Macaca mulatta: one gene and its partners. The protein of the gene in region 7 interacts with the protein of the main gene of each other region in a biochemical or structural test. Links are inferred from orthologs where the notes say so. Each region holds a gene or a part of one and is shown on either strand. Other genes may lie near its edges.

The links.
Region 1: the proteins of LRP1 (region 7) and THBS1 form a complex in vitro, tested with the Homo sapiens proteins (3 studies listed by BioGRID). The link is inferred for Macaca mulatta from reciprocal best matches to the Homo sapiens genes LRP1 and THBS1.
Region 2: the proteins of LRP1 (region 7) and DAB1 form a complex in vitro, tested with the Homo sapiens proteins (2 studies listed by BioGRID). The link is inferred for Macaca mulatta from reciprocal best matches to the Homo sapiens genes LRP1 and DAB1.
Region 3: the proteins of LRP1 (region 7) and PLAT form a complex in vitro, tested with the Homo sapiens proteins (2 studies listed by BioGRID). The link is inferred for Macaca mulatta from reciprocal best matches to the Homo sapiens genes LRP1 and PLAT.
Region 4: the proteins of LRP1 (region 7) and APOE form a complex in vitro, tested with the Homo sapiens proteins (2 studies listed by IntAct, with this or other methods). The link is inferred for Macaca mulatta from reciprocal best matches to the Homo sapiens genes LRP1 and APOE.
Region 5: the proteins of LRP1 (region 7) and LPL form a complex in vitro, tested with the Homo sapiens proteins (3 studies listed by BioGRID). The link is inferred for Macaca mulatta from reciprocal best matches to the Homo sapiens genes LRP1 and LPL.
Region 6: the proteins of LRP1 (region 7) and APBB1 form a complex in vitro, tested with the Homo sapiens proteins (2 studies listed by BioGRID and IntAct, with this or other methods). The link is inferred for Macaca mulatta from reciprocal best matches to the Homo sapiens genes LRP1 and APBB1.

Annotation. Positions count from the first base shown.
Region 1 is NC_133412.1:16,894,129-16,897,628, forward strand, and holds part of THBS1 (thrombospondin-1), read left to right. Parts: intron 1-262; coding exon 263-360; intron 361-464; coding exon 465-604; intron 605-1,537; coding exon 1,538-1,545; 3' UTR 1,546-3,500. UniProt on the Homo sapiens protein: Adhesive glycoprotein that mediates cell-to-cell and cell-to-matrix interactions.
Region 2 is NC_133406.1:183,204,722-183,208,861, reverse strand, and holds the start of DAB1 (disabled homolog 1), read right to left. Parts: upstream 2,801-4,140; 5' UTR 2,610-2,800; intron 2,236-2,609; exon of another isoform or gene 1,704-2,235; intron 1-1,703. UniProt on the Homo sapiens protein: Signaling adapter of the reelin-mediated signaling pathway, which regulates the migration and differentiation of postmitotic neurons during brain development.
Region 3 is NC_133413.1:44,285,477-44,289,480, reverse strand, and holds the start of PLAT (tissue-type plasminogen activator), read left to right. Parts: upstream 1-1,204; 5' UTR 1,205-1,276; intron 1,277-2,261; exon of another isoform or gene 2,262-2,457; intron 2,458-4,004. UniProt on the Homo sapiens protein: Converts the abundant, but inactive, zymogen plasminogen to plasmin by hydrolyzing a single Arg-Val bond in plasminogen.
Region 4 is NC_133424.1:57,410,730-57,414,933, forward strand, and holds the start of APOE (apolipoprotein E), read left to right. Parts: upstream 1-1,404; 5' UTR 1,405-1,657; intron 1,658-2,221; 5' UTR 2,222-2,244; coding exon 2,245-2,287; intron 2,288-3,729; coding exon 3,730-3,922; intron 3,923-4,204. UniProt on the Homo sapiens protein: APOE is an apolipoprotein, a protein associating with lipid particles, that mainly functions in lipoprotein-mediated lipid transport between organs via the plasma and interstitial fluids.
Region 5 is NC_133413.1:21,588,916-21,592,415, reverse strand, and holds part of LPL (lipoprotein lipase), read right to left. Parts: intron 2,455-3,500; coding exon 2,343-2,454; intron 1,660-2,342; coding exon 1,426-1,659; intron 1-1,425. UniProt on the Homo sapiens protein: Key enzyme in triglyceride metabolism.
Region 6 is NC_133419.1:59,372,656-59,376,155, reverse strand, and holds part of APBB1 (amyloid beta precursor protein binding family B member 1), read right to left. Parts: intron 1,940-3,500; 5' UTR 1,926-1,939; coding exon 1,205-1,925; intron 1-1,204. UniProt on the Homo sapiens protein: Transcription coregulator that can have both coactivator and corepressor functions. Adapter protein that forms a transcriptionally active complex with the gamma-secretase-derived amyloid precursor protein (APP) intracellular domain.
Region 7 is NC_133416.1:64,370,455-64,373,197, reverse strand, and holds the end of LRP1 (prolow-density lipoprotein receptor-related protein 1), read right to left. Parts: coding exon 2,725-2,743; intron 2,490-2,724; coding exon 2,328-2,489; intron 2,024-2,327; coding exon 1,849-2,023; intron 1,717-1,848; coding exon 1,615-1,716; intron 1,451-1,614; coding exon 1,386-1,450; intron 1,274-1,385; coding exon 1,183-1,273; intron 1,085-1,182; coding exon 940-1,084; intron 787-939; coding exon 646-786; 3' UTR 501-645; downstream 1-500. UniProt on the Homo sapiens protein: Endocytic receptor involved in endocytosis and in phagocytosis of apoptotic cells. Required for early embryonic development. Involved in cellular lipid homeostasis.

The DNA of each region.
Region 1 (3,500 bases), on a different chromosome or scaffold from region 7:
CCAAGAATTGCCCCGCAGATCCTAAGGTGCCTTCAGCCTTTTCAAACAAAAACCTCCTTCCCTCCTCTCCGTCTGCTTTATGTGTGCGCTCAGTGGCACACAACAGATGTGAGAGGGCTTGGAACAATTCCCCATTGCAGCCCTCTAGCTTAGATCAGCTCGGTACCTTTCAAGCGTTGTTTCTGATGGAATGAAACAGAAATCTTTACCTGAAGGAGCTGTGTTGTTTCAACCTTTCCTTTTCCTTTTCCTTTTCCTTCAGGTGCGCACCCTGTGGCATGACCCTCGTCACATAGGCTGGAAAGATTTCACCGCCTACAGATGGCGTCTCAGCCACAGGCCAAAGACGGGTTTCATTAGGTATGATCGTACTGATTCAATTTCACTTAAAGTCACACTAATGGACAAAAAGACAAAAAGTATGAAATAGCATTGTCACTAAACAAGACTTTTTTCCCCTGCAGAGTGGTGATGTATGAAGGGAAGAAAATCATGGCTGACTCAGGACCCATCTATGATAAAACCTATGCTGGTGGTAGACTAGGGTTGTTTGTCTTCTCTCAAGAAATGGTGTTCTTCTCCGACCTGAAATACGAATGTAGAGGTAAGAGCAACATCACCATGAATGTACACCGGACATCTCCATTGCAGACTAATACCAAGGATGACAGTTATGGGGAAGTCCATTGTAAAGACTGCTTTGGAGACAGGGTTATTTCTATCTTGCTTGTGAGGACACAAGGACAAAAATGGAATAATGCCTAGGCACTGTGGCTTATGAGTTCCCGAGTCCTTAGTTACAATATTAGTTTGCTTAGCAGTTTCTGTGCTGCTCATACACAGTGCAAAGGTAGGCTGCAGAAAAGCTCCTATACAATTTGGACTTCATTAATAATACTGTTCTTTACAATTATGTATTTATATATCTTACTGCTTGGTGTTTTATTCATGCCATCAGAGCACAAGTTAGAATTCCCAACTTTTCCCTGTATATAAAGAAGGGAGAGGAATGTTGCTTTCATATTGGCATGTTAAATTAAGGTTTACTATTAAACTTAGCTTTTTTTTGCTTCATTCTTTTTTACTCAGTGATTACTTAAGCTTGCTGAGTCCAACACTGGCTCTACCACAAAATAAGCACTTAATATATATTTACTGGGCCAAGGCCAGATACTGAAAAGATCAATCAGAGTAGAGAAAGATGGTTGATTTTACACACACACACAAAAATCTAAATTATTAATGTAATTTTTGAGTCTGAATTTTTAAAATAAGACTCCCTAAACTTTTAACATTGAAAGCCTTGGAAAGCATAATATACGTTCTGGAAGGTTCATGCCATGTTGGTCACCTAGCATCGATGTCAGCTCACAAAATTAAATGCTAATATGCTTGAACAATCTTAAATTAGGCTTTTGTCATTAGAAAAGTAGAGCTATTCCTATGTGGTTTAACTTATTAACTGATACTAAGATGTCTGTGCTTTTATGAATTAGTTTTCATTTGTATATTTATTTATATTTGTTTATTTTAACAGATCCCTAATCATCAAACTGTTGATTGAAAGACTGATGATAAACCAATGCTGGTATTGCACCTTCTGGAACTATGGGCTTGAGAAAACCTCCAGGATCACTTCTCCTTGCCTTCCTTTTTTTCTCTGCTTTCATCAGTGTGGACTCCTAGAACATGCGACCTGCCTCAAGAAAATGCAGTTTTCGAAAACAGACTCAGCGTGCAGCCTCTAATGAATAAGACATCTTCCAAGCATACAAACAATTGCTTTGGTTTCCTTTTGAAAAAGCATCTACTTGCTTCCGTTGGGAAGGTGCCATTCCACTCTGCCTGTGTCACAGAGCAGGGTGCTATTGTGAGGCCATCTCTGAGCAGTGGACTCAAAAGCATTTTCAGGCATGTCAGAGAAGGGAGGACTCACTAGACTTAGCAAACAAAACCACCCTGACATCCTCCTTCAGGAACACGGGGAGCAGAGGCCAAAGCACTAAGGGGAGGGCGCATACCTGAGACGATTGTATGAAGAAAATATGGAGGAACTGTTACATGTTCGGTACTAAGTCATTTTCAGGGGATTGAAAGACTATTGCTGGATTTCATGATGCTGACTGGTGTTAGCTGATTAACCCATGTAAATAGACACTTAAATAGAAGCAGGAAAGGGAGAGAAAGACTGGCTTCTGGACTTCCTCCCTGATCCCCACCCCTTACTTGTCACCTGCAGTGGCCAGAATTAGGGAATCCGAATCAAACCAGTGTAAGGCAGTGCTGGCTGCCATTGCCTGGTCACATTGAAATTGGTGTTTTCATTCTGGAAGTAGCTTATGCAGATGTAGCAGGAAAATAGGAAAATCTACCATCTCAGTGAGCACCAGCTGCCTCCCAAAGGAGGGGCAGCCACGCTTGTATTTTAATGGTTACAAAGGCACAAAATTATTGTCAACCTAACTAAAACATTCCTTTTCTCTTTTTTCCTGAATTATCATGGAGTTTTCTAATTCTCTCTTTTGGAGTGTAGATTTTTTTAAAATGCTTTACGATGTAAAATATTTATTTTTTACTTATTCTGGAAGATCTGGCTGAAGGATTATTCAAGGAACAGGAAGAAGCGTAAAGACTATCCATGTCATCTTTGTTGAGAGTCTTCGTGACTGTAAGATTGTAAATACAGATTATTTATTAACTCTGTTCTGCCTGGAATTTAGGCTTCATATGGAAAGTGTTTGACAGCAAGTAGTTGACATTTATCAGCAAATCTCTTGCAAGAACAGCACAAGGAAAATCAGCCTAATGAGCTGCTCTGCCCCTTGTGCCCAGAGTGGATGTTCTGGGATTCTTTTTTCTTTGTTTTATCTTTTCAAGTGGAATTAGTTGGTTATCCATTTGCAAATGTTTTAAATTGCAAAGAAAGCCATGAGGTCTTCAATCCTGTTTTACCCCATCCCTTGTGCCTATTTCCAGGGAGAAGGAAAGCATATACACTTTTTTCTTTGATTTTTCCAAAAGAGAAAAAAATGACAAAGGTGAAACTTACATACAAATATTACCTCATTTGTTGTGTGACTGAGTAAAGAATTTTTGGATCAAGCAGAAAGAGTTTAAGTGTCTAACAAACTTAAAGCTACTGTAGTACCTAAAAAGTCAATGTTGTACATAGTATAAAAACTCTGCAGAGAAGTATTCCCAATAAGGAAATAGCATTGAAATGTTAAATACAATTTCTGAAAGTTACGTGGTTTTTTTTCTATCATCTTGTATACCATTGCTTTATTTTTATAAATTATTTTCTCATTGCCATTGGAATAGAGATCTCAGATTGTGTAGATATGCTATTTAAATAATTTATCAGGAAATACTGCCTGTAGCGTTACTATTTCTATTTTTATATAATGTTTGCACACTGAATTGAAGAATTGTTGGTTTTTTTCCTTTTTTTTTTGATTTTTTTTTTTTTTTTTTTTTGCTTTTGACCTCCCCCTATTTTT
Region 2 (4,140 bases), on a different chromosome or scaffold from region 7:
ACTGTGAAACAGCTTGTGAGATGAGCTTCATCAACAATAAGTAATTTTTATTCAGATTTTATCGTTGACTACAATGAACATGATTAAACGTTTCAGATATGCCTATTCAGACCTTAAGCAAACCACTAAAAAATAAAAACTACTAAAAATCATCTTCTAAATCTGCTTTAGAAGAGACTTAATTGCCAACTCGATGGGTAGAACCGAATTCCTACTTGATAGCAGCACCGTTCCCAAGAAGATGGTCACAACATATTTGCACTTCCCACCTCGGCCTCTTTTCTCATCCCTGCGGATCCTCCCAGCGTTGCCAAATAGTTACAAAGTCAGTCCTTTCAAACCACTGCATTTTGAACTTCCTAAACCTTTAAGAGAGACTCTGTGTACGGAAAAGAACAATAGCGCTTCAAAAGACCTTTCTGCGAGTTCTTCAATACTCCATTTGAATGCTGGGGTTTCAATCAAGGACATCAGCAGACAATTTCTGATTGCTTAGAAGTTGACTTTTATACAGCTTTGATTAGGTCGCCCTTCTCAATAGGAAATCAAGAAAATATTTGATCACTTTAGGTTCCCAGAATTGTCACCAAGCCTTGTCAGGATAGGGAGTGAAAGAGACGGGGGTGGCGGGGGGCCCTACTCCTTCTGACATCTCCGAACCCCCATCTATCTTCGTGCCTGCGCAGTTCCGGTGCCATCCAGAATCACTCATCACAGAGATCACAAAAACAATGGGTGCTAATTCAAGGGGTGGGGATGGTTTATAATTTTATGGATTTCCCAAAGACCTATAATTGGCACATAAATGTACCAACGTGAACTGGATAATTAGGGGGTTCTAAAACGTAAGCCACCTTTAATTTATATGATTACTTGAAAACGTTAAGTGTTGTAAAGTGTAGTGGAATCTCCACACGGCCTTTATTCAAAACTATCAACACTGAAAGTGTATTTAACTGGCCAGCAGGAGGGGAGCAGGAAGGAGGTGGAAACGACGGCGCGGATTCTCACCCCCGGTCCCTGTTGGCTGGCTAGGAGCTGCACTGGAGCATCCAGCTCGCAGGCGGGCTCGCCCCCGTCCAGCTCCCAGGCGGAGAAAGGCGCTCTCGCTACCGCAAGCTCTACACTCGCCCCTCTTTCTAACGGAGTTAAACATAGGCGTGCGCCGACATCCAAACGCACACGCAGACACCGACCCACGCGGGCGCGCACCCCAGCCTCGCGACACACACACACCGGAGCGCACAGAAGCCCGCGCCGCGGCGCTCTCCACTCCGCCCGCCGCCGAGAGCCGAGCGGTCGCCAAACGCCCCCGGCCTCCCCACCCCCACGCCATTCCTTCAGACTCTCCCAGCCTAAGCGGAAGTGCCCCAGCAGACCCCCAACAATGAGGACTTGTGCGATGCAGTTGGGGGTTGGGGGTAGTTCACACGGAGTGAAACGTACACAGTCTGGCAGGTCTGGGAGCAGCCAAGTGGCGTCCGCCTCTCCAGGCAGCGTTCCCTTGTGCCCACTGGCCCCCATGAGGCCCACCAGCACCACCAAAAAACAAAAACAGAGAAAAAAAGCGCCTTAAAAAGTGCAGAGAAAAGATGCGCCCTCCCACCAGGGGTCACAATAATACTCCCCGGGACGCAGCCAGCGGAGGCAGAGTCCTGACTGCAGCAGTCACCCTGGTTTTGAAATTTACTTTGTACACTCACCCAGTGGCCCCTTTCAGACGCCGCGACACGACCTCCCCCCATCTCGGACTCCCTGCCTCTGGGTTCTCTCGGCGGTTGACACCCTCTTGTGTGCCTGCCTTACGAGCCGAACCACAGAGATTTAAAGTTTCCCTGGTAGGAAAAAAAAAAAAACTGAGCTCTCTGCATCCAAGTCAGAGCGTCTGGAGCAGAGAGAAGGAAGAGAGGCGGGCTGGGGAGGGGACTAACTGGGCGTGTGGGCAGGGGGGTGCTGGGGAGTGGATGGAGGGGGTCGAGCGGCAAAGAACAGAGTCCACAGAAGATCCGAAGAAAGGCAGGGGTCCGAGGAACGCGGGATCCAGTTCTCACGGTGCCCGCGAAAGGGCTGGGATTACTGGGATAGAGTCGGTTTTTCGAGAGGTCGAAGCCGAACCTAGCTACCGAGGAGTAGGGAAGTGAGAACGGGGTTCGGCCGAGTGAGGAAGAGGGTCTGGCCACCAGAGAAGCAGGGAGGGAGTTTCGGGAGCACAGGACAGCGGGAGAAGGCAGGCTCGAGGACCGACAGAGCCAAGACCGCAGGAGGAAAGAGGGCGCAGGGGGTCTTGGAGAGAGACGCGTGTCAAGGGTGGACAAGTCTGGAGACAGGATCGCGCGTGGTCAGAAGTAGGGAGACAGGGGCGCAGGGGTGGGTGGCAGGAGAGAGAAAGAGAAGTCACCCCTTTCCTCCCAGCAAGTGGAGGGAGAAGGCGAAAAACTGCTGCAGTCGCCATCCTCGCACCACCCCTAGCCAAACTGCTGAGTGGCGCGTCCCAGGAGCCCTCCTCCGCGCCGGGGGCCCCAGCGAAGCTGGCTCCCCGGCGCCGCGTCGTCGCGGGGCACCTGACGCGCTGAACTCAAGGGTTGCCGCGCGCCCCCGCCGCGCCTCACCTCGCCTAGCCCAGAGCATCCTCCTCCGCTGCCGCAGCCGCCCAGGAAGCGGCTACCCATGCCCGGCGGGCGGCGGCACTCAGGCGCGCTCTACAGCCCGGGGAAGCCCGGGCGAGCGCCGAGCTGGGTCCATCCTCCCCGGGAGCCACGGGCCCCGCGTCAGAGTAGGGGGAGGAGACCGCCACCCGCGCGGACCCGCCTCCTCCCGCGGCCCCCGCCCCGCCGGCCCCCGCACCCGCCCGGCGCCCAGCGGCGCCGCTCACCTACTAGCTCCCCGGCCGCCGCCGCCGCCTGGTAGTGCGCTCCTCGCCCCGGCCTCGCGGCTCCAGCTCCCTCCGGGGCGCTCTCTGCGCAGCCTGAGCGCGCTCCGAGAGCTTAGCCGAGCCGCGGTGGCGACGAGGAGGTGGAAGAACGAGCGAGCGAGCGAGCGGGGGCGCCGCGGCTTGCAGTCGCGCCTCTGGAGCCCCTGCGCGCTCTCTCCATCCTGGCGTGGAAGCGGGAGAGACAAGCCGAGAGCGAGGGGTCCCCGCCCCAGCCTCGCCAGCGTGAAGAGGGTAAGGGAGGGGGTTGTCACAAAGTAGCCAGTGTTTTCTCCCCCATCACCACCACTGGCCGCAGCTCCGCCTGGCCCCTCTCATTTTTCTCTAGGGTCTACCCTTTTATCCAAGCCTCGAAAACATACGCATACCCAAATATACGGAGTGCCATTATGGGCGAAACCACGAGGGGAGTCTCTGTGAGGGCATGTTGCCCCCACGCCCCTTGGCAGGAGGGGGCGCTCGCTCCCAGCCGCCAGCGCAGGCTCGGTGGCTCCTGTTTTGACTGAGGCTTCCCAGGCAAAGTTGGGCAAGTTGGGAGGGAAAAGGCTAGCATGTGTCACGTTTCCGTCCTAGGAAAGACCCGTGCCCCTGAGAGTATGCAGACCGCGGTTAACTCCGGCTTACTCCCCCCAACTCCCTTACTCGGCTCTTAGAATGACTGGGAGTAAACAATCCTCTGATCCGAAGCTGTGCGGGAGACGGCTCCAGCGAGTACGCAGTCGGTTGCTCCTTGCTTAGGGTCCTAGCTTACAAAGATCCTAGAAACACCAAGTCGCAGAAAAGATTGGGTCCTTCTGAACATTCTTCCACCCTGAGACTGGATTCAATTCCAGGAATCCCTGTTGTGTGGCATACCTGTCTCCAGAGGCCTGAACGCAGGAGGAGAGAGGAGCCTGGAGAATCAAATCAAGTCGATAATGTGTAGATTCGCACTGCACACAAACCACCCTGCTGGACCCAGGTGCAGAAAAGGAAAGCAAGAGGCAAGCAACCCTTCCTTAAAAAGTTTACCCTTACTCTTTTGGGGGCTACACTTCTGTTTTCCAGCTGTGTAATAACAAAGCTAATGCGATGGATTTGTGCTTTTCTGTTTTGGGTTTTTTTTTTTTTGTTTTTTGTTTTTTTGTTTTTTTTTTTTTTTTTTTTACCTCTTAGCTTCAGACACTCACCCACGGAAATTTAATGAAGCTTTTAGGGTTGTTACCTCCAGA
Region 3 (4,004 bases), on a different chromosome or scaffold from region 7:
AACTCAGCACTCATGGTTTGACACATATGAGTATATTTAGGATCAGAATGTATGAAATCTGGCCTCTCCTGGATAGTCGGTCATCCCGCAATTTCCTCTGCCAAACTTCTCTTCCCTCCCTGCATTCTTTCTTTCACCTCTCTCTAATTTTTAAAAGGTCTGGTCTCAGCCAGACATGAACCAATGATGATAGATGCTCCTGCTGAGCCCCATGATGTGCCAGGGACCTGACATGCATGGCTTCTCTCTGATCCTCACGTGACCTGCAGATGCAAAAGCCAGAGCTCAGCATAGTTGAAAACCTTGACTGAGGTCATACCCCAGTTACTGGCACAGCCAGATTTAAACCTAAGACTTTCCCCTACACCACAGGGCTTTTATTTCTTAGTCATCTGAAAAGGTGTCAGCAAGGGAAATGGCTTGTCTATTTCCAGGGGCATTTTACAAGCAAACACTGAAAGGCTTCTGTGGGCTTAAGGGCTGATGGCTTTGATCGAATTTCAGGCATGTTGGCCCCAAGGCCCTGTGTATATTCCCTGGGCCCACTCGAGGGGATGCTGGCGTCAGAAACTCCCCAGAGGCCACCTACTGCAGCCCTGCACTTTACAAGGAAGAGAGAGATTCTCCCTAAAATTACAGAGCTGGGCCTGAGATGCCTACTGGAGCAAATCCCCATGGGGGCACCTCCCACCGCAGGTGAGCCAGAGGCTAGTCCTGCCTTCTCAGTGGCTAGCCCCCTAAGCTCCCGCCACCACACAAAGTGTTCCAATCTTAACCTCTCATGTCCTGAGAGGCCAGAGCTACAGCCACAGATTCCAGAAGACACCCCACTCCCAGCCCCAGCCTGGTGCCTTTAGAATTATAAACACTTCTTGTCATCACAGGGTCCTGAAAGTCCCTTTTAAGTCTTGGACACTAAGACTCTAAAGGAAGATGAATCTTAAGATCCCGTCCCACTTCCAAATTCCTGTGATTCGATGACATCAGGGCTGTGAATAATCTGCCTGGCCCGAAGCCAGGATGGGCTGTGCTGCTTCCACCGTGAACTTCCTCCCCCTGCTTTATAAAAACAGGCCCGCCCCAGCTCCCTCATGGCCCTGTCCACTGAGCATCCTCCCGCCACACAGAAACCCGCCCAGCCGGGGCCACCGACCCCACCCCCTGCCTGGAAACTTAAAGGAGGCTGGAGCTGTTCAGGGAGCTCAAAGCTGAGATCCTACAGGAGTCCAGGGCTAGAGAGAAAACCTCTGCGAGGAAAGGCAAGGAGCAAGCCGCGGTAGGTCAGGTTTCTGTGTTGGGGTCTGTCTCCTCTTCTGTCTCTTAAAAGTCTTTCCAGCAAGCTGAGCCAGTGAAGGAATGCTTTAACCAACGGACCAACTTTGTAATTCAGGCAACTAGAGGATCCGCTAGAATCCACTCCGGAGGGGAGATGTCTGTTTGCATTTGCATGTGATTGGGATAGGCTGGAGTGTTTTGGAGGTGAGAGGGAGTCAGGGGAAGGGAGACTAGGGAGTTTGCATTCATTGGAGGAGCCTCTGCTGGCAGAGTAAGGGGGAAGGTGAAAAGAACGATACAGAAATGCCCCAAATAGGCTGTGGGAGCACCTCAAGATGAGCAGGCAATAAAAGGAAAATCGGCTGCCTTGGGACACGTGGCTGTGACAGCTGGGAGGGCCCTCTGGGGTCCCCCAGTTTCCTCCCTCCCCCGATGAACCCCCAGGAAGGAACTGAGGCTGTGGATGGAGCAGAGGGGCCTTACTTCCAGAGCACTATTCGCTAGGTGCTGGGAGAGGGAAGCAGGTGGCTTTCGCGCCCCACATTACCCCGTGGGGTAGAGAAATGCCTCTGATCTCCTCCCTAGGTGCCACCCCCACAAGTCTCCACAGGTCAGTTTGGCCCTCTGGCTTTTTGCCCAGGGTGCATCAGTCAAGCGTGCAGTCCTCCTTAAAGGACATTTTAATTACAGGGGAAAAAACTAACATCAATGTCTTTTATTCCTAAAGCACTCTGCAGAAAGCATGTGGGGTTCTCTAGATTTTCACTGTTATTATCTTTATTTTCTTAACCTCACAGGGAGGGAGAGAGGAAGGGAGGGAGGGAAGAGGAAAACATGCCGAGGTCCCAGGTAACTAATGACAAACTCAAGCTCAAAGAAGTGTGGTAACAAGGATGCATTTGGCGGCCAATTGGGAATAATATGGTGGTCTCCTGTAGCTCCTTGATGACAGAAAAAATGTCGTGTGTGTGTGTATGTGTGTGCATTGCAATCCCAGGAAGCGGTCCTGCAAATACCATTGTCAGGTGGAGTTCCCTCAAAGGTGACTTCCTAGCAGTAGTACTTGCTGTGGCAAGAACACTCATTCTGGGATCTAGAATCAATCCACGACGGTCAGCTTGAGCTGCTGGGTGCGTGCTTCCTGTGCAGGCAGAGTCGGACTCCAGCACTGGCAGGGACACCGTGAGTATTGAGATATGAATAGCTCCATCCTGCCCACCCATTTATTCCACCTAAAATGTTCTCAAAGACACCAGCCTCCAAGCTCTGGATCAAATGATAAAGCCCAAGATCAAAATCTCAGGAGCAAATGAAAGCTGCCCTGTCTCCAAAGTGCTCCTTCTCTGCCCAACTCCCCAAGACCAGCTCGGTTTATTTCACGATGGCTTGCATCGGATTCTCCCAGTGTCTGTGGCTCCCCCTGCTTCATCACAGACCTGGGACAGTCCAGGCAGCCAGGGAGTAGCTGGGAATAGCAGTTCCCCTTTGTTGGTTTTTGAGTTCACTGAGGCTTTGATTTCCCCCAGGGCCTGACATTGCCGAGCAGAGTCAGTGGCCAGTAGATTTCAAAGGATTTCAACAAACAGCCCAGGCATTCCTTTGTCAACCCAAAAGTAACTGAGACAGGTCTGTCAATTTAGAAAGTTTATTTTGCCAGTGTTAAGAACACACCTGTGACACAGCCTCCAGAGGTCCTGAGGACGTGTATCCAAGGTGGCCAAGGTGTGGCTTGGTTTCATACATTTCAGGGAGACATGAGACATCAATCAATGCATGTAAAGTGTGCACCGGTTCGGTCTGGAAAGGCAGGACAACTGGAAGTAGGAGCTTCCAGGTCATAGGTAGAGAAGAAAAGATATCATTCTTCTGCGTCTTTGTCAGCCTTTCATTGAATACACAATTTACATGTGAGGGGGGGCAGAGGAAGAGTCACTTATGCCTTAGTTGGCTCAGTGAATCTACTTTTTTTTTTTCCCGAGACGGAGTTTCACTCTTCTTGCCCAGGCTAGAGTGCAATGGCGTAATCCTGGCTAGTGCAACCTCCACTTCCCAGGTTTAAGTGATTCTCCTGCCTCAGCCTCCTGAGTAGCTGGGATTACAGGCGCCTGCCACCACACCCGGCTAATTTTTGTGTTTTTAGTAGAGACAGGGTTTCACCATGTTGGCCAGACTGGTCTTGAACTCCTGACCTCAGGTGATCCACCCACCTCGGCCTCCTGAAGTGCTGGGATTACAGGCATGAGCCACCATGCCTGGCCTGAATCTTCATTTTTACAAAAACAATAGGGCAGAGGAAGCAATCAGATATGTGTTTGTCTCAGGTGAGCAGAGGGATGACTTTGAGTTCTGTCCTTTGTCCTGCACCCATTTGCATTGCCAAGGTGAAGTTCAGCAGAACTGTTTTAGCGTACAGATCTTGAAGTCCACAAGGAGTTTCCTTGTGGGTAAATTGTGAGGGAGGTATGTAGCTTTTTATCTTTGTAGCTGTCTTATGTAGGAATAAAATGGGAGGCAGGTTTGCCTCATGCAGTTCCCAGCTTGGCTTTTCCCTTTGGCGTAGTGATTTGGGGGTCTTGAGATTTATTTTCCTTTCATACCTTGGTAGTGTCACTTGAAGCCACCATTACCATCTAAGGCTTTTCTTTCTTTCTTTCTTTCTTTCTTTCTTTCTTTCTTTCTTTCTTTCTTTCTTTCTTTCTTTTTTGTTTGTTTTTCTTTTTCTTCTTTTT
Region 4 (4,204 bases), on a different chromosome or scaffold from region 7:
AGCAAACAGGCCCGGCCTGGCACTGGGGGTTCCTTCCCGGGACCAGGAGTCCAGCCTCCCCTGACTCGCAGAATCCTCTGATCCCACCCACTCCAGTTCTCGATGTGTGACTTTGCCATTCATCTCGCTGCTGAACCACGGGTTTCTCCTCTGAAACATCTGGGATTTATAACAGGGCTGTTAGGAAAAAGACAGCATCTGAGCGCTCACTGCGGCCTGTCCATTGCTAGCCCTAACAGGACCACTGTGCCAAGGCTGTCCTCCGTGCTCCATACACGTTAGCTTGTCACCAAACATATCCGTGTCACTGCTTTCCCAGTCTGATGAGCAAAGGAACCCGATGCTCAGAGAGGACAAGTCATTTGCCCAAGGTCACACAGCTGGCAACTGGCAGAGTCAGGATTCAAGCCCTGGCAGTTTGACTCCAGAATCCTAACCTTAACCCAGAAGCACAGCTTCAAGACCCTGGAAACCACAATGCCTGTGGCAGCCAGGGGGAGGTGCTGGAATCTCATTTTACACGTGGGGAGGGGTGGGTCCCCTGTGCTCAAGGTCACAACCAAAGAGGAAGCTATGATTAAAACCCAGGTCCCACTCGCAAAGCCTAGACTTTTAGCAGATGCACCACACTGTTCCCACCCCCCTCCCATCCCACTTCTGTCCAGTCGCCTAGCACCACTTTCTTTTCTTTTTTCTTTTTCTTTTTTTGTTTTTCTTTTTAGAAAGCATCACTCTTGCTCAGGCTGGAGTGCAGTGGCGAGACTTCGGCTCACTGTAACTTCCACCTCCCGGGTTCAAGTGATTCTCCTGCCTCAGCCTCCCAAGTAGCTAGGATTACATGCGCCCGCCACCACGCCTGGCTAATTTTTGTATTTTTAGTAGTGATGGGGTTTCACCATGTTGGCCAGGCCGGTCTCAAACTCCTGACCTTAAGTGTTCCGCCCACCGTGGCCTCCCAAAGTGCTGGGATTACAGGCGTGAGCTACCGCGCCCAGCCCCTCCCATCCCACTTCTGTCCAGCCCCCTATCCCTACTTTCTTTCTGGGATCCAGGAGTCCAGATCCCCAGCCCCCTCTCCAGATTGCATTCATCCAGGCACAGGAAAGGACAGGGTCAGGGAAGGAGGACTCTGGGCGGCAGCCTGCACATTCCCCTTCGACGCTTGGCCCCCAGAATGGAGGAGGGTGTCTGGATTACTGGGCGAGGTGTCCTCACTTCCTGGGGACTGTGGGGGGTGGTCAAAAGGCCTCTATGCCCCACCTCCTCCCTCTGCCCTGCTGTGCCTGGGGCAGGGGGAGAACAGCCCACCTCGTGACTGGGGGCTGGCCCAGCCCGCCCTATCCCTGGAGGAGGGGGCGGGACAGGGGGAGCCCTATAATTGGACAAGTCTGGGATCCTTGAGTCCTACTCAGCCCCAGCGGAGGTGAAGGACGTTCTTCCCCAGGAGCCGGTGAGAAGCGCAGTCGGGGGCACGGGGATGAGCTCAGGGGCCTCTAGAAAGATGTAGCTGGGACCTCGGGAAGCCCTGGCCTCCAGGTAGTCTCAGGAGAGCTACTCGAGGTCGGGCTTGGGGATAGGAGGAGCGGGGGTGAGGCCAGCAGCAGGGGACTGGACCTGGTAAGGGCTGGGCAGCAGAGACGACCCGACCCGCTAGAAGGTGGGGTGGGCAGAGCATGTGGACTAGGAGCTAAGCCACAGCAGGACCCCCACGAGTTGTCACTGTCATTTATCGAGCACCTACTGGGTGTCCCCAGTGTCCTCAGATCTCCATAACAGGGAAGCCAGGGGCAGCGACACGGTAGCTAGCCGTCGATTGGAGAACTTTAAAATGAGGACTGAATTAGCTCATAAATGGAAAACGGCGCTTAAATGTGAGGTTAGAGCTTAGAATGTGAAGGGAGAATGAGGAATGCGAGACTGGGACTGAGATGGAACCGGCGGTGGGGAGGGGGAGGGGGTGTGGAATTTGAACCCCGGGAGAGAAAGATGGAATTTTGACTATGGAGGCCGACCTGGGGATGGGGAAATAAGAGAAGACCAGGAGGGAGTTAAATAGGGAATGGGTTGGGGGCGGCTTGGTAACTGTTTGTGCTAGGATTAGGCTGTTGCAGATAATGGAACTAGGCTTGGAAGGCTAACCTGGGGTGGGGCCGGGTTGGGGTCGGGCTGGGAGTGGGAGGAGTCCTTACTGGCGGTTGATTGACTGTTTCTCCCTCCCCAGACTGGCCAATCACAGGCAGGAAGATGAAGGTTCTGTGGGCTGCGTTGCTGGTCACATTCCTGGCAGGTATGGGGGCGGGGCTTGCTCGGTTTCCCTGCTCCTCCCCCTCTCATCCTCACCTCAACCTCCTGGCCCCATTCAGGCAGACCTCGGGCCCCCTCTTCTTCTGCTGGTCTGTCTTCCCCTTGAGGGGAAAGCCCAGGTCTGAGGCTTCTATGCTGCTTTCTGGCTCAGAACAGCGATTTGACGCTCTGTGAGCCTCGGTTTCCTGCCCCCGCTTTTTTTTTTTTTTTTTTTTTTTTTGAGCCAGAGTCTCACTCTGTCGCCCCGGCTGGAGTGCAGTGGCACAATCTCAGCTCACTGCAAGCTCCGCCTCCCGGGTTCACGCTATTCTCCCGCCTCAGCCTCCCGAGTAGCTGGGACTACAGGCGCCCGCCACCATGCCCGGCTAATTTTTTGTACTTTGAGTAGAGAAGGGGTTTCACTGTATTATCCAGGATGGTCTCTATCTCCTGACCTCGTGATCTGCCCGCCTTGGCCTCCCAAAGTGCTGGAATTACAGGCGTGAGCCACCGCGCCCGGCCTCCCCATCCTTAATATAGGAGTTAGAAGTTTTTGTTTTTGTTTTGTTTTGAGATGAAGTCCCTCTGTCGCCCAGGCTGGAGTGCGGTGGCTCCCAGGCTGCAGTTCAGTGGCAGGATCTCAGCTCACTGCAAGCTCCCCCTCCCAGGTTCATGCCATTCTCCTGCCTCAGCCTCCGGAGTAGCTGGGACTACAGGAACATGCCACCACACCTGACTAACTTTTTTTGTATTTTTAGTAGAGACGGGGTTTCACCATGTTGGCCAGGCTGGTCTGGAACTCCTGACCTCAGGTGATCTGCCTGCTTCAACCTCCCAAAGTGCTGGGATTACAGGCATGGGCCACCGCGCCCAGCTGGGAGTTAAGAGGCTTCTAATGCATTGCATTAGAATACCAGACACGGGACAGCTGTGATCTTTATTCTCCATCACCCCACACAGCCCTGCCTGGGACACACAAGGACACTCAATACATGCTTTTCCGCTAGGCACGGTGGCTCACCCCTGTAATCCCAGCATTTTGGGAGGCCAAGGTGGGAGGATCACTTGAGCCCAGGAGTTCAACACCAGACTCGGCAACATAGTGAGACTCTGTCTCTACTAAAAATACAAAAATTAGCCAGGCCTGGTGCCACACACCTGTGGTCCCAGCTACTCAGGAGGCTGAGGCAGGAGGATTGCTTGAGCCCAGAAGGTCAAGGTTGCAGTGAACCATGTTCAGGCCACTGCAATCCAGCCTGGGTGACAGAGCAAGACCCTGTCTGTAAATAAATAACGCTTTTCAAGTGATTAAACAGACTCCCCCCTCACCCTGCCCACCATGGCTCCAAAGCAGCATTTGTGGAGCACCTTCTGTGTGCCCCTAGGTACTAGGTGCCTGGACGGGGTCAGAAGGAACCTGAACCACCTTCAACTTGTTCCACACAGGATGCCAGGCCAAGGTGGAGCAACCGGTGGAGCCAGAGACGGAACCCGAGCTTCGCCAGCAGGCTGAGGGGCAGAGCGGCCAGCCCTGGGAGCTGGCACTGGGTCGCTTTTGGGATTACCTGCGCTGGGTGCAGACACTGTCTGAGCAGGTGCAGGAGGAGCTGCTCAGCCCCCAGGTCACCCAGGAACTGACGTGAGTGTCCCCATCCCGGCCCTTGACCCTTCTGGTGGGCGGCTATACCTCCCCAGGTCCAGGTTTCATTCTGCCCCTGCCACTAAGTCTTGGGAGTCCTGGGTCTCTGCTGGTTCTAGCTTCCTCTTCCCATTTCTGACTCCTGGCTTTAGCTCTCTGGAATTCTCTCTCTCAGTTCTGTTTCTCCCTCTTCCCTTCTGACTCAGCCTCTCACACTCGTCCTGGCTCTGTCTCTGTCCTTCACTAGCTCTTTTATATAGAGACAGAGAGATGGGGTCTCAC
Region 5 (3,500 bases), on a different chromosome or scaffold from region 7:
AGACAGTGAAAGTTGCAAGTTCACAGGGAATTTTCGACTTTCATACTTCTTATATTTATGTGTATGTTTATGAAGCTGTAATAAGCCTCCAAGGTGGAGGTTGATTTCCTTGTTTGTCACATCATTCTCTTATATTGAAAGTGTCTAACACTTCTAGGTGCTTCTAGAAACATATACATGCCCCTTGCCTTACAATATATTTTTCCTAAGTCAAAAATACTGTAAGTTGAAATGCACTTAATTCCCCCAAAACCCATCATAATGTCCAAAAGTTTTAAGTCAAACCATCATATATATATACACATGCTTCTCAACTTACAGTGGGGTTATGGCCCAATCGTAATTTTTTTTTTTTTTGTATTTCTAGAAACCACTTCTTAAGAGGTTAATTGTTAAATGAATTGTATTTTATCATTGATATTATGTATAATTGAGGATTCTGCCCCTACTAACACTCTTTTACATCAAATGAACCATAGAAATAATCAGCAATGCCATAAGAATGACTTCCTTGTATGTTTTTAGGACAATTGAAAATAGTAACATTATGCTGTAAGTTCTATAATGTGCACAAAAATAATGAGAATATCCTAGGTAGGTCCCAATGTCCATAAAGTATGCAAAGGGCCCTTAAAAATAAATCATAAGCTGGACATGGCGGCTCACAGCTGTAATCCCAGAACTTTGGGAGGCTGGAGGCAGGAGGATCACTTGAGGCCAGGAGTTTGAGACCAGCCTGGGCAATATTGCAAGTCCCCTGTTTTTACAAAAAACAAAAACATTAGCCAGGTATGGGGGTGTGTTCCAGATACTTGAGAGTCTATGGCAGGAGGATCGCTTGAGCCTAGAAGTTCAAGGCCACACTGAACTCTGATTGTGTCACTGCACCCCAACTTGGGCAATAGAACAAGACTCTGTCTCAAAAAAAAAAAAAAGAAAAAGAAAAAAGAAAAAATCATAAATTTAACACAAGCTAACATTATTAAAGTAAAACATTAAGCCAACATTATGTTCTGAAAATTTTGGAAGATTTATACTAATTAACATCTCCTTCCATTCCAATAACATCTACAATCCTTCCATTGGCTTTGCAATTGCATTCAAGGTATGACAACTTGTGGCCAGATAGCATTTTATGATGCCATTATTGAGGTCAGTGGAGTTTTCCTGTCTAAATCTCACCTTTTTCTCTTGCTACTGTAAGTGCACTGCTCAGTGTAGTCTACAATATAGTAAATAAAAGATAAAATGTCTGTTTGCCTGGCTATAAGGTGGTCTTGCTGAACATTGCAGAATTCTTCAGAAACATAATTTGGCCAAATGTGTATTTGAAAACTACATACTTTGGAGCTACTGGGTAGGACTTTGGGTCAATAAGGGTTAAGGATAAGAGTCACATTTAATTCACTTCTAAATAATATTTACCTCCAAGGCCTCTCTCTGCAATCACGCGAATAGCTTCTCCAATGTTACATCCTGGCTGAAAAGTACCTCCATTCGGGTAAATGTCAACATGCCCAACTGGTTTCTGGATTCCAATGCTTCGGCCAGGGGACCCTCTGGTGAATGTGTGTAAGACGTCTACAAAATCTGCATCATCAGGAGAAAGGCGACTCGGGGCCTCTGCATACTCAAAGTTAGGTCCAGCTGGATCAAGGCCTTAAAAGGGAAAAAACAGGTCCACAAATTTGTAAATTTCCATTCGTGTGATATTCGTATGTCACTGATCATCATTTGAATGCACTGGCAGCTATTTAGATTCTTATCTCCTGTAGTCACTGGATCTTTACTTAGACATAAAAGGAGGCTTGGCTCTTTCTACAATGAATTTGAGTCTCTTAGCCTTATACAGCAATTTTCACTCAGGATGGCTGGATTTCCTTTTGTAGATTATTTTGAATATGTTGAGAAGATGTATAAACAGCGGTGGGTTCTTTCTCTCTGTGTGTAAGCCACACCTTTGCCTAGATGCCTGTCTTCTTTCTAAGTGTCCTCTGGGATTGGTCCTTTTTCTTTTCCCCTCGTACTGATGTGCATTACACTACGAAAACACAGAGCTGAGAGTGGAGGGAAACAGGCTTCCCAGAGAAATCTGCAGGCATTGTGTGTAATTCTGCTTTATTTCTGTGCTGTTGCCAGTGGATAGTAAGCCCGTCAGAGCATCTGTAATTTTTCTTATCCCTAATAAAGAGCCCTACAATGAGGTAATGAAGTGCTGGGCATGTCTCCTGGAAGAACACCACACACGTGGAAGAACACGTGGGTATTTAACAAAATTCGTTCTGATTCTCAGAATGACAGTCTTCTCAACTCTTACAAGACCAGTGAAACTTCTTTCTTACCAGTAATTCTGTTGACTTTCTTATTGGTCAGACTTCCTGCAATGCCAGCAGCATGGGCTCCGAGGCTGTATCCCAAGAGATGGACATTGTCCAGAGGGTAGTTAAACTCCTCCTTTGGAAGAGAAAAAGAAAACAAAGGTTCTTATAATTCCGCCAAAAAACAAAACTAAAAGAAACAAAATAAATATAAGTATTGCTTTCAAAATATAGGAAATACTGAAAACTAATTCTACTTATTTTAATTTTGTGTTACGGGTAAGAGAGAGAAAATATTCTCTATTGTTAAAATTTTCTCTTTTTCTTTTGTTTCACTGTTCCATAAACAAATCCAGTATAGATTTTCTTTTCCTTTAATAACAGATTGAAATGACAGTTTTTCCATGCATCTGAAATAGTATTATTATGTATATAATATATGCATATGTTTGTATATGTCTTTGCATATATAACCATATACTATATGTACAAGCATATACATATATATGTATATATGTATATGTGTATATGCATATATGCATGCATATATATATGTATATGTGTATATGTTTGTACATATAGTATATGGGTATATATTTTCCCATTATTCCTTACTCTAAATACCTGTATCACTTTATCACTGAAGGTTAGCCAAGCAATGACAGACTCAGGAAACATTACAGTGGAAGGGATCAGAGACACATGGTCCAACCCCTCCTTTAACAGGTGAGAAGCCTGAGCCCCAGGGAGGTGATCCCGTTTGCCCATGTTCATTTGCCTGGTCAGCAAAAAAGATAAGAAAAGAACTTTTATCGTTTATGGTCAGTCTAATAAATACAGCTTATTTTTTACTTCCAATTACCTGGTTAAAATAATTTGCCTCGGTCAGAGTATTAGCTTCTTTCCAACCCCAAGATACTTTTCAGAGGTACTTTTCAGGGGATCATCTGAAAAAGTGAGTCTCTTGCAGCTAAGTCAGAACTCCAGACCTCAGTTCCCTTCTATCCTATGCACCTTCCCTTCCAACATCTTCCTAGCTCAATTCCATCACTCTCCCAATGTTCAACAAAAAGATTCATCCTATGTCACACTAAAGAATAAGTACTATTAGTATTTTCATGAAAGAGATTGGTATGTCAAGGCGAGGATAAGATGTCCATGGGCCAGCCAACTGGTGGGGAA
Region 6 (3,500 bases), on a different chromosome or scaffold from region 7:
TGCCCAGGTTGGTCCTGAACTCTTGGGCTTAAGCAATCTGACCATTTTAGCCTTCCAATATGCTGGGTTACAGGTGTGAGCCACTGCACCCAGCTGTAAACATTTATAAATAAAAGTATTTGCTTCAGAATAACCTACGCTGGGCCTAGGAATGGAAGACAGCATGTAGGTAGCAAGATTAGTTATGTATTGATAATTGGTAAAACTGGGTCATGGGTAAATCAGGCTCATTATTCTTTTCTCTCTACTTTTGTATATGTTTGAAAATGTCCAGAATGAGTTTTTCGAACGGGGATGGTGTGCAGCCCTAGGCTCATTTGAACTGCATGTTCTCTACAAAGATTGCACAGTTTGGGGTATGGGTATGGTGTTCGCTGCCTGGTGAAGATGGGGATCTTTCCTAATCTTTCTTAGACCCCCATCTACAGAACTCCAGGGTTGTGACTATAGCCCATTATCTCCATCCTTTGTTCCTCAGCTTTTCCTGTATTCTCTACATGACATTAGAAAATGTGGAGACTCAGCTGATTTAAATGGGACATATTTAATTATTAAGCCCTGGAATCCTAGTATCTACTCTCCTCCCCCTACCCAAAGCGTTTTCTTTTCTAACTTTTAGTCAATATCCTACTCCTGACAGCAGCTCCCCACAGACGTGACCTGTTAAAACGGGGCAGACTGTCCCAAGTGCACCTAAGTGCACTGTGCTCTGTGCTGTGGTGGCAGTGTAACACAGGGCCAAGAGCTCAGACCTGGACTCAGACCTGGTCTAGATCTCAGCTCTATTGTAATCTCAGCCTGTCTGTGGTCTTGAGAAAGCTACTAAACCTCTCTGGGTCTCTTTTTTGTTATCTGTAATATGGGGATAATCATAGTATTTACCTCACAGCTTTACTGTGAGGATAAAGCCTGAAAATGCTGAGTAGAGGGCCAGTTACCTAGTCAGTGCCCAGTAAACAAACTAGTCCACTTACCAACCATGGTGGCATGCATAATGAACAGATCTATCCATCCAGGCATGCATGATGGTCAGATCTACCAGAATGTCCAAGCACTCTCTGAACGAGAAAGCCTGGACATGGCCTGCTGTGGCCTCAGGACATGGGCTTTCAGCTCACATCAGGCTGGCACTGGCCTCTATATGAGAGGCCTAACCTCTGCCCTCACACCCTCCCACATGCCCATGTCAAGCTCCACAAGGTACCTGTGTCCTCTGGGGAGCCATAGGAGGGGCTGCCCTGGGATAAGGTAGCCCAGCTTGAGTCCTCGTCACTGGCTGCACTGTTCCGCATGCCAAACAGCAGGCTGGCACTCTTGCTGTGTTCCCGGGGGCCATCTGTAAGGGCTTGGGGCCTGGGAGGGGCCTCCACACTCTCCAGGGTCTCAGGCAGCCCTGGGGGAGAAGATAAGTCCTCCTCCTCCTCTTCATCATCATCCTCCTCCTCCTCCTCCTCAGCCTCCCCTGCCGCCTTCTCCTCTCCCTCATCTGGCCCCTGCTCTTGAGTGCTGATGATCAGGCCAGGTCCTCGTAGGCCTCGGTTGGCCGCGTTGTGGGCTGAGAGCTCCAGCTCAGAGTACAGGTGTATCAGGCCTTTGGGGCCCAAGGGTGCCATCTCAGGCTCCTGGCTGGCCTCCTCCGCCAAGGTCAAGGTCACATTGCGGTTCTGGTCACGGTGGGCCGTGGCGGCCCGCCGGAGTTGGTTCTGGCCCTCTTTTAGCCACTTGGCATTGGCAGGGCCTGGTTCAGGCCCACCACCCTCCCCCATGGCGCTACGCAGGTCCTTGGGTCCCACAGCTGTGGCCTGCAGCTTGGCGTTGAGTAGCTGGTTATGGGCAGCGTGCAGAGGCAGGGGTAGGCTCAGTGTGGGGCCTCCGTGGCTGTTGGCATTAATGGCCGACTGGCTCAGTGATGATGGAACAGACATGGCCTTGGCAGCTCCTGTGGGGTGGGGAAGGGAGATGCTGTTGAGCCTCTGGTCCAGAACAGCAGCATCACTGCTTCTGCCCCAGGGCTACGCCCTGTGCCTCCTCATCTCCCTGCACTAAGCAGGCTAGCACCCATGGCTCTCTATCCTATGAGAATGACTGGGCTCATCTTCTGTCCCAGCACTATCGTCCCCATCACAGGCCAGGCCCAGGTCTGAGGCTCAACCCATCCCTATATCCCCTGCCCTGAGCTTTCTGGGATGGCACAGCTGGTGCCTGCTCCGCCCTCGATCCCACCAGCAGGGCCTCCACACAATGGCTCTCTGTGCCTCCCCACCCCCCAGCTCATCCACCCGGGGCTTACTGTGCCAGGAACACCACTAGAGTGGGACTGGCTCGTGTGTTTTGGACACTGATCACTGACTGCCCCTCTCCTGCTGCACTTCCATCCCAAGCCCCACCACTGTAAGCTCCTCCGGCTGTGTTCCTATTCCCATAAGTCACTCAGCTCAACCAGCCCCCAAGCCCACCCCATACTAGGGACTGTGAGGACAGGAGGAAATAAGCTGCAGAACCAGCCCTACAGGGCATGGCACAGGAAGGCAGGTCACAGAGGGAGGGTGCTCGGTTGCAATTCACGGCTCCGCTGGCCAGATGAAGCTACATCTTGGTGACAATTTCCATGAAGTAGCTCCCCTTGGGCACCGGTCCCTCTGCCAGCCCTTATAATGCCCTGTCCTGGATCACTATGGGAGCCTTTCCCCTGGGCCCTTCAGCCTTTCAGATCTTTGCTTTTTGGGGTTTTTGTTTGTTTGTTTTTGTTTTTGAGATGGAGTCTTGCTTTTGTCACCCAGGCTGGAGTGCAATGGCAGGATCTCAGCTCACTGCAACCTCTGCCTCCCGGGTTCAAGTGATTCTCCTGCCTCAGCCTCCTGAGTAGCTGTGATTACAGGTGCCGACCACAACGCCCAGCTAATTTGGTATTTTCAGTAGAGATGGGGTTTCACCATGTTGGTCAGGCTGATCTCAAACTCTGACCTCATGATCTGCCCACCTCGGCCTCCCAAAGTGCTGGGATTACACGCGTGCACCACTGCGCCCGGCCCAGCCTTTCAGATCTTTGACCAAATGTCACAGCCTCAGTGAAGCCTTCCCTGAACACCCATTTTAAAACCACAGGCTACCTCAGTCCCTCCTCAGCAATCCCTAACTCTTCCCCAGCGCCTGTCACCATCTGACAAGCCAATTTGTTATTTACTTTGTCTAATGATTGTCTCCTCAAGACTACAATTTATAATCTCCGTGTTGGTGAGGATTTTGCCTTTTTGGTTAAATACAGTATGCCTAGTGCCTAGTGTAGTCTTGGCACAGAGCAGGACCTCTATTAATATTTGTTGAATGAATGTATGAATCAGTCCCCATTTCCTCCAGGCTTCGCTTTGGCCTCTCCTCTGCCAGTGTCAGAAAACACTTTGGTTATGTTACTGAGCCTCATGGTGCCCCACACAAACTCCACCTGCCTTTCAGGGAAGTGGACGCCCTGTTCTACAAGGCCAGCTCCCCTCCCGACACCT
Region 7 (2,743 bases):
GGGGAGGCTGGGGGAATGTTTACCAGAGGAAGTCTCCAGCCCTGGGAACCTCAGTGGGGGCCCTGGAGATGGGAAGGGCCTGTCTGGGAGGGGGATTCAGCATGGCCATCTCATAGGTGCCCCTGGAGTCAGGGCTGGGCTTTGGGGTGGCCTCCCCCAAGAACTAAAACACTCCATCCTTTCCTGCCTACCTCACCCAGAGCCACGTCTTCCAGACAGGGGCAGCAAAGAACTCTCCTTCCCCAGAATTAGCCCTCCGGGAGCTGTGGGAGCGGGCAAGCAGGGGTAGGGTCGAGAAGGGAGAGCCTTGGCAAAGTGTCTTATACAGGGAGGGGGAGGCTGCACCACCAGCTCTCCCGGTGGGGTGTGTTCTGGTGGGAGGGTAGGAAGTGCAGCCCCAAGCCCTCCCTGCCTGCCTCCCTGAAGGCAGCATGGGGGTGCCGAGGAGCAGGCAGGGAGGGGATGGAGAAATAATACTGTGCTCGCTTGCTGGCTTGCTCGCTCACATATAAAACGTAATTCCTTCATTTTTACATTTATACATCCGGCGAGGCCGGGGAAGGGCTGGCTGGGGAGGGGCTCACTGAAGGACTTCACTGGCAGGGGGCAGGAGGCTTTCTGGGGGAAGTGCGACGGGGCAGGGCCCTATGCCAAGGGGTCCCCTATCTCGTCCTCAGGGCCCCGGCCCAGGAGTTCTCGCTTCTCGTCCGTGCTGGCCAGGGAGTGGCGACTGCCGTGGCCCCCCATGTAGAGTGTGGCATACACGGGGTTGGTGAAGTTGGTGGGCTGCAGGGTGACAGAGGGTTCAGGTAGGGCTTAGGGGCTGGGCCTGTGGCCCAGGTCACCCCACCCCCACCTCTGTCCCTCACCTAACCCAACACCTTTGGTTAGGCCACCCACAGCCTCTTGGCCCTCCACCCTGCCCACCTTCCAGCCCACCTTGTCAGGGTCCAGGGCAAAGTCGGCGTCCAGTAGGCCTCCCACGTCATCAGGCTCTCCGCCTTCGTACATCTTGTAGGTGGGGTTCCCAATCTCCACATTCATGGCCCCGTTGGTCATCCGCTGGTGCTGGAAGCCCTTAGCCCTGGGGAGAGGCAGGAATATAAGGAGGCAGAGATTATTGGGGGGAAGGTTAGGATGGCAAAATAATGGCCAGAATGTTCCAGATTCCCTGTGACTCACCCTTGGACTCGCCGCTTATACCAGAATACCACTCCGGCCACCAGAAGCACCAGCAGCAGCAAGAGCAGAGGGATTAGGATGGAGGCTATATCTGGAGGGAAGAGGTGGGACACTGAGTCACCAAGGCTCAGGGAAGCAGGAGGCACACGGTCCCCCTGCTCTAGGTCCCGGTGGCCCTGCCTGCCCCACCCCCTGCCACCTACGTCCTGGCTGCTGCTGGCTGAAGACGTGCTCCTCACACCGGGGCCCTGTCATGTGGGGTGGGCACCTGCAGAAAGGAGGGACACAGATGAGTAGACATAACCTCCATAGCCACTGCTGCCAGGGAAACGCGGTGGCGGGGGGTGGGCGCTGACGCCTGACGATCTTCCTGCTCAGATCTGGGGAAGGGAGGGATAATCTATGCCTGGGTGAAGCCCGGGCCCAACTCACTGGCACTCAGGCATCATTTTGCTGTTCATGGTGCAGGAGCCGCCATTGCTGCAGTGGCCGATGCAGGTCAGACAGCTGGGGGCCACCCGGCCGTCCGTGCAGCTGCAGGAAGGAATCAGAGGCTGGTGCTGGGGCTGGCAGAGGTGTGTCTGGGATGCTGAGGAAGGGGCAGGGCAGGGCTAGGACAGGGCAGGGGCTGGGCTGAGTGGAACTGTGGAGGAGGGCTCCACTCACTTGCAGGTGACATCCCCACTCTGCTTGTTGACCACACAGGCCCCTTCGAGACAGCGGCTGCACTTGTTCACCTCACACCTCAGTCCCTCAAAGTAGGCAGTGCAGCGACATTGTCGGGAGCCATCAGCGGCCATCTGGCATGTGCCAAAGTTCTCACAGTAGCCAGAGCACTGCCCTGTGGTTGGGGAGGGAGAGAAGTGCCTCAAGCCCCACCCTCATGAGGGCTCTCCAAAGGTTGAACAGAGCTTTTCTGTTTGCATGATCTTGGTGCCGGGGGGTGCACTGCCTCGGGGGAAGTGTGCCAGCACCTTTGTGGGGAAGCACCAGCAGCTTGGGTCTGGCTCAGCTGCTTAAGGCCTCTTTTCCTGAACTTGACCCTGTGCGTCCCAGGCACAGGTTGAACATCACCCCATGCTCTGGGGTTCCCCATCACCCGTCACCCTCCTGCCTGCCCTGGGGCCCAGGGAAGGCTCACTCACGGTACTGGCAGCGGTCGCCCAGGAAGCCGGGTAGGCATCGGCACTGGGGCTGGTTGCCCTGGTTGACAGTGCAGGTGCTGTTGTTGGCACAGTAGCCTGCACACACCTGCTGGGTGCATTTGGGGCCCGTGAAGCCCGTGGGGCACCGGCACGTGGGCATGCCTGGTGGGAGAGGATGTGTGAGCGGGACTGTGGCCCTTGGGACCACCTGGCCCTATAGCAGAGGAATGGGCTGGGGGGACCTGGGCGAGAGTCAGAGACTGGAGTGAATGGATGCTGGGTCATGGAAAGGAGGCTGGAGGTGAGGCAGGGGTGGGCATCTGCCTAAGGTGGGGTGGTGGGTGGTGGGGTTGGGACCCGGGGCAAGGAGCAGGCGTTGCAGGATGAGGGGGCATACCAGAGGGAGAGGCAGCACA